Linked DNA regions of Drosophila melanogaster. The protein of the gene in region 1 interacts with the protein of each later gene in a pairwise test. Each region holds a gene or a part of one and is shown in the gene's direction. Other genes may lie near its edges. The genes, in order: CG6912, Ptp4E and CG6118.

Region 1 (3,756 bases):
AATTGTGAGAGGCTTTAACTATCAAAAAGGCTCTCAAGTATTATAAAAAAGATTATTATAATTTGTTTTTCTTTATTAATTGCTTTATTTTTTTTATTGTTTTTTGAGTGGTATTGATTGCATAATGATAAGCACGTTTTCAATAATTTGCGCTTGGCGAGTGTTAATCCATCCATCCATCTTCCGCACGGCATCCGGTTTGACCTGCATATTGGGAGCAGTATTGGGCCTGGTCGTAATATACGCAGTTGTGGGTGCTGCATTTGTAGGAGTAGCAGTACGAGGAGCAGGTCGAAAGGTTACCCATAGCACAGCCACTGCAGTCGTAGAAGTCTAAAGTGGACAAAAAACGATGAAATTGGACTTTACTTTGCATGTAACAACTATCTTTACTGAACTCACTCTGGGGCTGCTGGCAAATCCCATTATTGGACTGACAGGCCTGACCCGCCCAGTTGGGAGGGATGGTCACCATCTGGCTGTTGGACTGAGTCCAGCTGGCTACTGCGGCCGGAGCGAGCATCACCTTCCTGGCACTGCAGACGGAACCGCACTGATGATGACTCCTGCTGAAGCACTTGTATCCGTCTTGACCCGCCTGGGTGGCGCAGACCCGCGGAGCGAATACGTTGCAGCAGGGGCTTGAGGGTGACTGTGGTGGCGCCACCACTTCCACCAGCTCCTCTTCCTCTTCGGAGGCTTGTTCTGGGATTGTGATGGAGGCGTTTACCATGACGTGGTTAACATTGTTGGTGATCAGGTGGGGCAGAGCTCCTGGGAGCTGGTGGACAGTGTTCTCTATGTGGATGTTACCGAGCTCCAATGGCTGAGGCTTCGAGCACCGGATACCCGTCCAAACATATCCAGCAGGACAGCGGGTCTGAATGCAGCGTCCTTCGATGTACAAGCTATTTTCCCCGCAGAAAAGTAGACGGCAAACACCTTTCACCAAAATTGTTCCCTCCGGACACCGGATAATGGGATCCGGTGGCGGCGTAGTGACTGGGACTGGGATCGGTCGAGGTGGTGGTGTTGGATTTGCTGGAGGTGCAGGCGCTGGTTGCTCAGTAACACTTGGGGGAGTGGTAGTTGGTGGAGAAGTTGGGGAAGGAGCATTGATACTAGGACCGTTCGTGGGATACGAAGATGGGCCGTTCGAATTACAGGAACTCGGACCATTGGCATTGGGACAAGCTGGAGTTGTTGGTGTATTGGGACAAAGTGGCTTATCTGGAACCACTGTAGGATATTGAGGAGTGTTGGGGCAACCGGGAGTAGCAGGAACAACATTTACATTGGGATTAAATGTATTATTCGGAACCACTGTAGGATATTGAGGAGTGTTGGGACAACCGGGAGTACTAGGAACAACATTTACATTGGGATTAAATGTATTATTCGGAACCACTGTAGGATATTGAGGAGTGTTGGGGCAACCGGGAGTAGCAGGAACAACATTTACATTGGGATTAAATGTATTATTCGGAACCACTGTAGGATATTGAGGAGTGTTGGGGCAACCGGGAGTACCAGGAACAACATTTACATTGGGATTAAATGGATTATTCGGAACCACTGTAGGATATTGAGGAGTGTTAGGGCAACCGGGGGTACCAGGAACAACAGTAGTCACAGGATTGGAAGGATTGCATTGAATCCCCGTTTGACCTCCGCACAGGTTACTATACATATTCAAAATAATGGGGCTGCAAACGATATAAGCATTAACCTGACCTAAGATGTGAATGATGTCATCAGTGGACTGACGGATAAACGCTTCCAAGTCGAACTTACCATTTTGGCAGGGATTTGGTGTATAATTGGTGATAACCGTCGCGGGAAATAGTCCAAGACAGATTAACAGCAGCAGCCGTTGCACACGGAAACCCACTTCACTGTCAGACATTTCGATTCGAACTGATCCCGGCTCACCGGTGACGGATTAGGAACGGCTGAAGCTGCAGCCCAAGCGACCTTCACCGTTATCTGGAACACGAAGGTTATCGCAGCGCCAGCAATTATGCTTTCCAAAGGCATCCCAGCGAGCTCAGCGTCGCTTCGATTAGTCTCTCGCCTAGTGCGGACCGCCGTACATCGCGAATCTGTGTCTCAGCTCCCGGATCAGCAAGCAAGTTAAACAGTATGCTTGTGAAGTCATTCAGATCGGCCCTGGTTGCCTGCCTGATCACCCTTGTGCCTTGCGGAAGTGCTCAAGCATACATCGCGGTAACCGAATGTGGTTTACTCTGAGGATTGGTGTCTATTCTTATACAAATATATTCCCCTAGAAGCCGACATCTCCGCAGGGATATCAGGATGTCAACGGCGTGTGGCAAAGCTCTTTCGTTTGTCAAACAGGTAAGAAATCTCTGAAAAAATGGTTAATCTCGCTGTACCAAAAATGGTGCCCAATTTAATCAGCAGCTGTGTATGACTATTTATAGAACTACTCAATGCTTTAACTGATAATTTTAAAAAAGTATATGAAAAACCAATGTATTATTATTATATTATTTTTGGTTTTATCGTTCATTAGGATATCAATTGAAAGCGGATGGAAAATGTTATCCACAGACTAACAAAACGTGCGGGCCTGGTAACTTAGTAAAAAACTTATAAATCTTTAATTCGTGAGATTTTTTGTTGTTTTTTTTTTTCGTTGTCATTTTGTTTAGGATACTTTCTTAGCATTGATGAACTATGCTATCGTACGAATCCTGAGCCTTGCCCGCTTGAATCGACGACCACTACTACTACGACAACAACAACAACAACAACAGAGCCCACTACCACAACAACAACGGCAGAGCCCACTACCACAACAACAACAACAGAGCCCACTACCACAACAACAACAACAGAGCCCACTACCACAACAACAACAACAGAGCCCACTACCACAACAACAACAACAACAACTGCGCCTCCCGTCATTACAGAACTGACTCGCTGTCCACCGGGATCGATTTACTTCGACTCGCAGTGCAGGAAAATCGTCTGTTCGGAGGGTGAATATAAGGCTGGCCGTTGCATTTCATTGGCATGCCCAGCGGGAACCGTGTGGTATCAAAAACGCTGCCAACAACCGGGATTTATCACCACTATCCTTGAGATTGACAATGTGATCCACAATGAGCACAAGTACTCGGTGACCAGCGAAAATATAAATCGTGTGGAGTACATTACATCCGCACCCTATGATCCCGATAACGACAAGAGCTATGACTATACTATAGATAACATCGTAGCCACAACAACAACCAGACGTCCCTGGATATACCCCAGTTTGAGGCCATCTACGGAACAGTCGGCGGCTAATGAAGTCTTTCCGGGGCGTCATCCTCCACCGCAATGCTGTTTTGTAAAGAGCCCTCGCATCTGCATCAACTATGCGCCCAACTGGGTGTGCTCCAACAAGGAGAATAAGTTCTGCGATTCCAGAGTCTGCACGGCCCCGGTGGTATATCTCAAGCCACCGAAGGTCGTATATGACGAAAACGCGAAACGAGTGGTCATGCCGCCAAATCCTCCACTTCTGGCGTGCAGCACGCCGGATTGCAAGGAGAGCGGTGAGTCTTCAAATCGTTTCTTTTATTATTTACATTGAGTATCTGCTTAACGAACTTATCGAAGAGATAAGGATAAAAAATGTATTTCAGGATCATTAATACAATCTTGTGTTTCCACAGACATTTTGGATTGCTCCGGCTGCAAGGATCACCAGCGGGATAAGTGCTCACCGGGCTGCTACAGTTA
Region 2 (3,756 bases), on another chromosome or scaffold:
GCACACACCTGTAAGGCGGTCTACGTGCCGAATTAAGGCAACATAAAAGGCCCCGGAATAAACTAGGTCGCTGCTCGTTGTTGTTATTGCAATCACAAAAAAAAAATGCACGCCGCAAATGGAATTTTAAGGGAGTGTGCTTGTGTGCGTGCAAGCGACGCCTGCCGCTTCCTCTTCTTCGACTTGCAAAACAACAACGAGCGAAATTGAGCGTGAAAACAGAGGAAACGCGAGGATAGATATTGTATAAAAACATGCGTATTTAACAGCGGCTGACCTTGTTTTCATTTGCGCCTAACAAGCTACGGAAAGTGAAAGACTTTGATTGGAATTCTCATAAGAATGTGAAACAGGTTTCGCTCTCATAACGGTATCTGCATACACATACACACACACACACACAGATGAGCCGTAATAGCCAGGCAAAAACAAGAAAAAGCCGGAAAAAGAAAGTAAAAAGGCAGAAAATGTTTAGTTTATATTTCTAGAGCGAGAAAGAGAGAGAGAGAGATATGGGGACGTAGAGAGCGACTGTTAAGTAATACATTTGCAGAGAAAGCGCGCGCAAAAGACACAAGAAAAAAAAACACATTTGCATGTATTGTGTGCTACTTATTGATGGCGTTATTTTCTGGTGTTTTTCGCACAATTGCCGCAGTTTCTGAACGCTGCTTTTGACATTGGAAGAGTTCAAGCGGCTTTTTTTTTACGAATTCGATTTAAACTCATTTTCGATCTGCGAAGGTCAACAGCAAAACAAAATGAAGCCGACTGCACGCACACCAAGGCAATATTTACACAGATACATTCACCACAGTTGTATGTTGCTTGTGTTGCTCCTTAAATATGTTACATATTTAACATATATGATATGTTGTGACAATCAAATAGTACTTGCAATCTTTACCTTGGTTGAGCCGCTCGATTTTACAACTGTTATTTATCACACTTTATTTTCAGTTTAAAATGCACTTTTTCGCTTCCTTTTCACTTTTGATTGCTACTGACATCAACTTGACGTTCTGCTAGTGACTGTATGTTAGCTCCTAACAGCTTCGGCAATTTATCGATTAGTGCTGTTAACGCTACAGCTACCTAACAGAATTAAAGAAATATATTAAATTTAACAAAAATACTGAATACAGCTAGCTGGTCATACTCCTGTTTTACATTTTATTTAATTTACGAATACGTTTAATTTAAATTTTGTTGATATATAATTTAATAAATTTTTTGGTCTCAAAACGTCTTAGCTAACCCCACACAAAACCACTTCGAGATTATTCTGAGGTTCTACGAAAAAAAACTTGTTATATATACAGAGATATATGTATTTTAAAACCAAATAAAAATGAACCTGTATATAATAATACCATAAGATAGCTACTTACTCTACGAGCTGTGAGCCTTGAGTGCCGGTGCTCATATAACTTTCTTAAGCTTGCTTGATATAATTTTCATATTGCATATCTAAAAAAAAATAAAAAAATAATTATAAAATTTTTGTAAAAAGTTCAGTAAAAACAGTTTAATTCACTTATTACCTGGTATTTCCTTCTCTGCAAATATAAACGAATTTTAGATATTTTCAAATTTGTTTGAGTTGGTGTGTTCTGTTTATTATGAAAACATGGATACATTTTTAACAAGTGCTCAAAATATTATTTTATTTACTAAATATATCAATATATAAAATAAATTGTATTTTCTATTAGAAGACTAGTAATAAAAATGACAAAGTTATAATAATACCATTGGAAATAATTACCAAATTGCAATTTTTGAAATTGCAAAGTGTGACTGCACGAATACTTGTTGAATATCAACTGCATGAATTAAATTTCGCTTTCCGAATCAACGAAACATCAAATTTGGTCAAACATGAGCAAAACATGTCATATAATATTAACAATATATTCTTTAAGAAATTTAACAATTTTAAATAAATTATGAGTGACCCTGTGTTGTGTAAAATATGTGGTATTTATTCAGTATTTTTGGGTTTTTTTTTCTGTTTTTCGGCAGCACTGCGCGGCGGTCACGCCTTTGTATTGTATTTATATTCATTCGTTAAGCGACGGTCGTCCAAAAAGGCAGAAAATGTGGAAATTCATTGATGAACAGTGGTGAAAAGTGCGTGCAGTCATTCGCTTCAATTTGTCGTGGCCGATTCCTTTTCGCAACCAATTTTTCTTATTTTTTTTCTTGTCAGTAACAAGTTGTCGGTCAATAAAAGTGTCAGTTTATTTTCTGCATAATAACGGTTACTAAAGCCTAAATTTTTTGTTTGTGACTTCTTTTTTTTTAAACAAATGCGCCGACGCGCCAGAAGTTTATATTCTGTTTTTATGTTTTCCGCTTAAAACGAAACGTGACTAGTTTGTTTTAAATTGGTGTGCAACGAAAACAAGAAGAAGCGGATGAAGAGGGTGGAGAGGAGAGGAAGCAGAAGAAAAAGAGCAACAGTCAAGTGAATTAGTTTTTTTTTCGTCCATGCCGTCGCTGCCAACGTCGACGCCGTTGCGCCGCCGCATTTAGTCATTGCATCAGTGTGTCCGAGTGTGTGTGTGGCAGAGAGAGCGAGTGGGAGAGCAAGGGTGGAGTAAAAGTAAATGCGTGCAATTAGCATTTAATGCAATCACCATTAACCGCCTACTATTGTAATTTATATTACCCTAGTACCTGTAATTTACACATACACCTACACACACACCTGCTCAGCTAGTGGTAGTGCAAATATGAAGTGCAAAAAGCGGCGGCAACAACAATTGTCTGTTAATTGCTGGATATTTCGTAATGCAGCAACAATAACAACGGTAGCAAACTGTAATGCCACAGTGAAGACTCGCTAATCGAAACTTTGTCGGGCATATTAACCAAATTCGTTATATGTTTGCATTGAATTTACATTTCATATATTAACTTCTAAATCTCGTTAGATTTACATGCTCGCGTGTTCAATAGCAGGGAGGGCCCACTGTACTTGTAGTGAAGCGCCGTTACAGCCACAAATGCGTGTGAGTGTGATTATGTATGCATGTGTGTCTGCATCAAATCACACACTTGCAGCGCTCATGCACACGCACTTGTACTTGTGCGTGGCTCACATTTCCATAGCCAGCCGCTTCCCCCTCCACGATCAGTGTTGCTCTTCACCTGCAGCTTTCGCTTCTGCTTCTTCTTCTCCCGCACGCATGTGCCGTTACAAATTCGCTTGGACATAAATCATTTTTCGTGCATTAGCCGGCGATTGTTAATGGAAATCGTATTAGAAAACAACAATTACAATGGGCCCACATCTGCCGCTCTCGCTCTCGATCGCGCTCATCATTGCTCTCCCGTTTCCCGTTACAGAGAGTGCAATACAAGTGCAATATTAATTAAGTAATAGAGGAAACGTAATATGCGTGTGCAATACAAACAAATGACCATGTAACGGCCAACAGAAATGTATATGCAATACAAACGTACATACATGTGTAAAACAATAAGCGCAAAACACCGCCCATCCCCGCTTGAAAAGTAAAACCAGCAATCTGCGAAACCTTCGACCATCATTGGGTTTTACTGTACTTGAAAATGGACTGTGCCACGCGAAAACAACAACAATTACGGGCACATCATCAGCAGCAACAAATACAAATACAAACACATGGACGAAAGCGGCAGCAATTACAAAAACAACGCCACAACCACCACCACTACTACCAAAATTCACAACAACAACAAAAACATTTCGTGTGGCTTGTTGTTGGC
Region 3 (3,756 bases), 300 kb from region 1:
GGCTCTGGTTCTTTGCGAGACTTTATGAAATTCGGAAATCTCTTTTCCTGCTCGGATTTTACAACTTTCTTGGCTTATTCTTTACCTTGCCTTGTCTTTGTGGCTGGGCGCTTAATGCGTTTGGCATCGTTTTCGGCATCTTCGCTCGTTCTGCCTCGCCCTCTGCACAGCTTCTTCGCCGTCTTCTTAATAATTTTATGTTAATTATTAAAAAGTGAAAATACGATTTTGGCTTTTGGGGTCTCGACTCTTAGCTGCATTAATCATTTAGCCGCGATACATCTTAGCTCGTTTCTTTTTCCCCCAGCAGTTCTGGCCCGGTCGAGATTTATATAACGAACCAGCCGTCCAATTAAATCTATTAGCTCTCCTATTGACAAAGATCATCGTTTGGCAATAAAATGCGTTTTCGTTTTCAGTAGAAACAAAATATTCCGTTGCTCATTAGCATGTAAATACAAATTCGGGCCTATTAGTTGGTCGAAAGTCGTGGTCATGCGACACAAGATTGAGCACTGGATGACTAAATGGATCTTCGACAGGTTCTGCATCCCTACTTGAAGTGGATGTGGATACGGTATACTCGATGTATCCGCAATGGAAAGATGATTTACATCTCTATATGTAACAGTCGGTGGCTTTATCACACAAACTTTCACCCAGCTGAGTAAAATATGTTAAAAGAATCGATCAATCGGCAACGGTGTGAACTCACAAGCTTAGAATACTGCCTATACAACTTTACAACATTGAAATTCTCGCCGACAATTTATCAAGCTTGGGAAAATCTCGAAAGAAATAAAAAGCTGACAAATGCCGAGTAAATAGAGGCCTACCACTGTGCCCCACGGCGGCAGCGGGGCAATTCAATCCAAGTACAATGGCCAGGGGAAGTGTCTAATGCAGACATCTTCTACATTAGAAAGTTTTCTACAACTACAACCAGCAGGGCAGCATCGCGCATCCGAGTGTAAGACAAAAGAAACAACTGTAAGTGCAGAGAGCCCCGGCTCCCCGAAAAGCACCCAAGAGCCCCAGCAAGACCACTCCAAATGGAGCCTGCTGAAGACAGAGCTTTGCAACGCTAACTGCGCATGGGTAGACCAGTAGAAAGAGCAGTACGAGCACCAGACCCAGTCCCAGTACCAGTACCAGTACCAGTACCAGTACCAGTACTAGTACCGCCAGCAACAATGAGAAATGCAGCGGTGAAAGATTTCCAAATGCAACTCACTGCAACTGCAACCCACTGGTGAGGCGATTCAAGTTGATTTCTGCCCGGCTCGCTGGGTGCTGCTCTCCACATTATCTATCCGTTGGCAATTAAAGTATAATTAAGAATCTAATGGAGTTTCACTCTCCTTGTGCGTAATTAGCCGTGCGGTTTATGCAAAGAAAAGTAAAAACGGCAGCAACAATGGAAAAGCGAACGGAATCAGATTGCCAGCGAAACGGGGGCCAAAAATGTGCGACAAGAAGAAGAAAAAACGCTTAAATTATATAATTATAAAAAAAATCTTGACAAAAATAGACGAAAGTTGTAATTTTCAGCGCTTGGCAAACACGAGCAGGGGGTGGGGTGGAGGAAGTGGGAAAAGCTGGTCTAAGAAGGCAGCGATGAAAGTTAAAGTTATAAAAGCAGCTGGGGAACGCACTGGAATCGAAACGATGGTAAGCTGTAAATAATTAACCATTTCGGCTTTGGTGTGCGAGAGTGAGCTCCCAAGGCGAAACTCTTACTCAGAGCACATGGCAAACACAAACGGCGGACCAAAACAAAAGACTTCAACGAAGAACCAAACTTGCTATGGCCCGTGTGTGTGTGAGTGCGCTCGAACGTGCATGTATGCGCGAGAGAAAGAAATGGTAAAAGCACTCTTGAGCCGAAGAACCAACGGCAGAGCTTCCACCTTGCAGGTGTGTGAGTGCGGCAAGCGAAAGCGTCGCTGCCGCTGAGAAACGAAATGGAATGGCATGAAATTTCTTAGCGATCTTTGAGGATAAGCGCTGGTTTCACTGCGCGCTGCCGCACAGACGTCTACCGCGTTTCGAGGCAGACGTTACGTTCCACCGTTCGGCGCGCAAGAATCGCCAGACCAGCTCGTAGAAAGTCGCGCCTGCGCAGAAACTTCATAGCAAGAAAATCATATAAGAAAAATACTCGAAAAGAAAACAAGATCATATGAAAAGTGTGGAATAGCAACAGCATCATGCTGCCCAAGTGTAATCAAAATGTTATCCTCTTTTGACTCTGTGGTTTTGCGATCTTGAATTTCACTCCCCTCTCTCCGGATTTCGAAGACCACGCATCCGTATTTATTAACTGCCTTGTGTTCTCTGCATATCAAAACGCAAAAGTGAAAGTGATTTTTCGGTGTTTCGGTGCGTGAGTGCCACTTGAATGACAAATATTGATATGCTACAATGAAAACCGGCCACCGCCAGCCAACCAAATAAGCTTCGAGAAGAGAAACTATCAAAGAAAAAAACATATATTTTGTGTGCGCCCATTGGATTACGGAAAGTTCCCGAACAGCTCAAGGATACCAATCGGGATTGGAGTACACCTAGCACACAGCACTATTATCATCAAACAATTGGATTTGGATATGGCTGCCAACGAGATTATGACACCCACAGTCAATGCGAATTGTCAATACTCGACCAGATATTGTTGTAAGTTGCCTTGAACTTGGCTAGCTACTAACAAGCAGTAGTTACTAACTACTAGATACTTTGGGTTTAGTAGGGAATAACTATAAATCCAAATATTCTAAGCTAGTTTTACCAATAAGAAAAGTAACAAACGCAAAAGGCGTTTCGGATCCGTTCGAGTCTGGATGTGCCCCATTGGAGTGCAGAATGCCAAGCGAAAGCAACAAACAAACAAACGTTCGAACCAAACCGTGCACTCGGGCAACCTGCGCAGCCAGAAAGAAATTTTCAAAACAAAAAGCAAAAGCTGCTTTTTTTATAGAAAGTTTCCCCAGCAAGGGGACCCAACTGGCTGGAGTTGCAGCCAGTTTGGAGCTTGAAGCTTGAAGTTGGGAGTTTCGAGCTACATGCTACATGCGATGCTATATGCGATGTGTTGCCGTCGTTGAGCATCGGCAGTGACTAGTTGTTTTGTTGCTTCTGCTTCTGCAGTATCTGTATCTTTGGCTGGCAATGTATCTGTATCTCTGACTCTGACTCTGCTTCTGCCTCGGTCTCGGTCTTTTGGCCTGGCTTTAGCTACAGCTTTAGCTTTGGCTTTGGCAGCTCGCTTCTGCCGCTGCTACGACACGAATATTAATAGGTGAAAGTTGTTGCTTCGTTTCTTCGTTTTTCTTTCGCCGTCGCAGTAGCCGTCGCTGCCACTGCCGACGTCGCTGCCACTTCTACAGCCACAATGAATAATAAAAGAAAGAAAGATCCCTTTTCGGGTACAGAATTTATGTTTCCTTTCAGACATTCAGTAATTTCTCCTCGTTGCCAGTAATGTTGGTTTCTCAGGCGAATCTCTGAAAGAAAACCTTACTGTCTTCTAAAATTTTAAAGATACTTATATATATATATATATATATACATTTTTTTTTACTTAAAGCCTTTACATACATTACAAACATTTTGATACTTGTCACATATTATTTGAACATACGTATATCGTATTAGATTTTCTTTCTCTGTGGGTGAATGTTGTTCGTCGGCTTCGAGTCCTGTCATAAGCTGACCCACTTTCTGGTACATTTCATTGCCATGCAAATGGATTTGAGC

What was found.
Region 2: the proteins of CG6912 (region 1) and Ptp4E interact in a two-hybrid assay, tested with the Drosophila melanogaster proteins (one large-scale study listed by BioGRID).
Region 3: the proteins of CG6912 (region 1) and CG6118 interact in a two-hybrid assay, tested with the Drosophila melanogaster proteins (one large-scale study listed by BioGRID).

What each region holds. Positions count from the first base shown.
Region 1 is NT_033777.3:15,135,312-15,139,067, reverse strand, and holds the start of CG6912 (uncharacterized protein), read left to right. Parts: upstream 1-2,063; 5' UTR 2,064-2,142; coding exon 2,143-2,226; intron 2,227-2,288; coding exon 2,289-2,358; intron 2,359-2,536; coding exon 2,537-2,596; intron 2,597-2,675; coding exon 2,676-3,569; intron 3,570-3,689; coding exon 3,690-3,756. Other genes in the region: CG3984 (uncharacterized protein), read right to left, coding at 164-333, 403-1,734, 1,795-1,906.
Region 2 is NC_004354.4:4,937,068-4,940,823, forward strand, and holds the start of Ptp4E (protein tyrosine phosphatase 4E), read left to right. Parts: upstream 1-2,060; 5' UTR 2,061-2,133; exon of another isoform or gene 2,134-2,237; intron 2,238-2,369; exon of another isoform or gene 2,370-2,465; intron 2,466-2,513; exon of another isoform or gene 2,514-2,608; intron 2,609-3,354; 5' UTR 3,355-3,579; coding exon 3,580-3,756.
Region 3 is NT_033777.3:15,433,038-15,436,793, reverse strand, and holds the start of CG6118 (uncharacterized protein), read left to right. Parts: upstream 1-2,055; 5' UTR 2,056-2,609; coding exon 2,610-2,676; intron 2,677-3,756.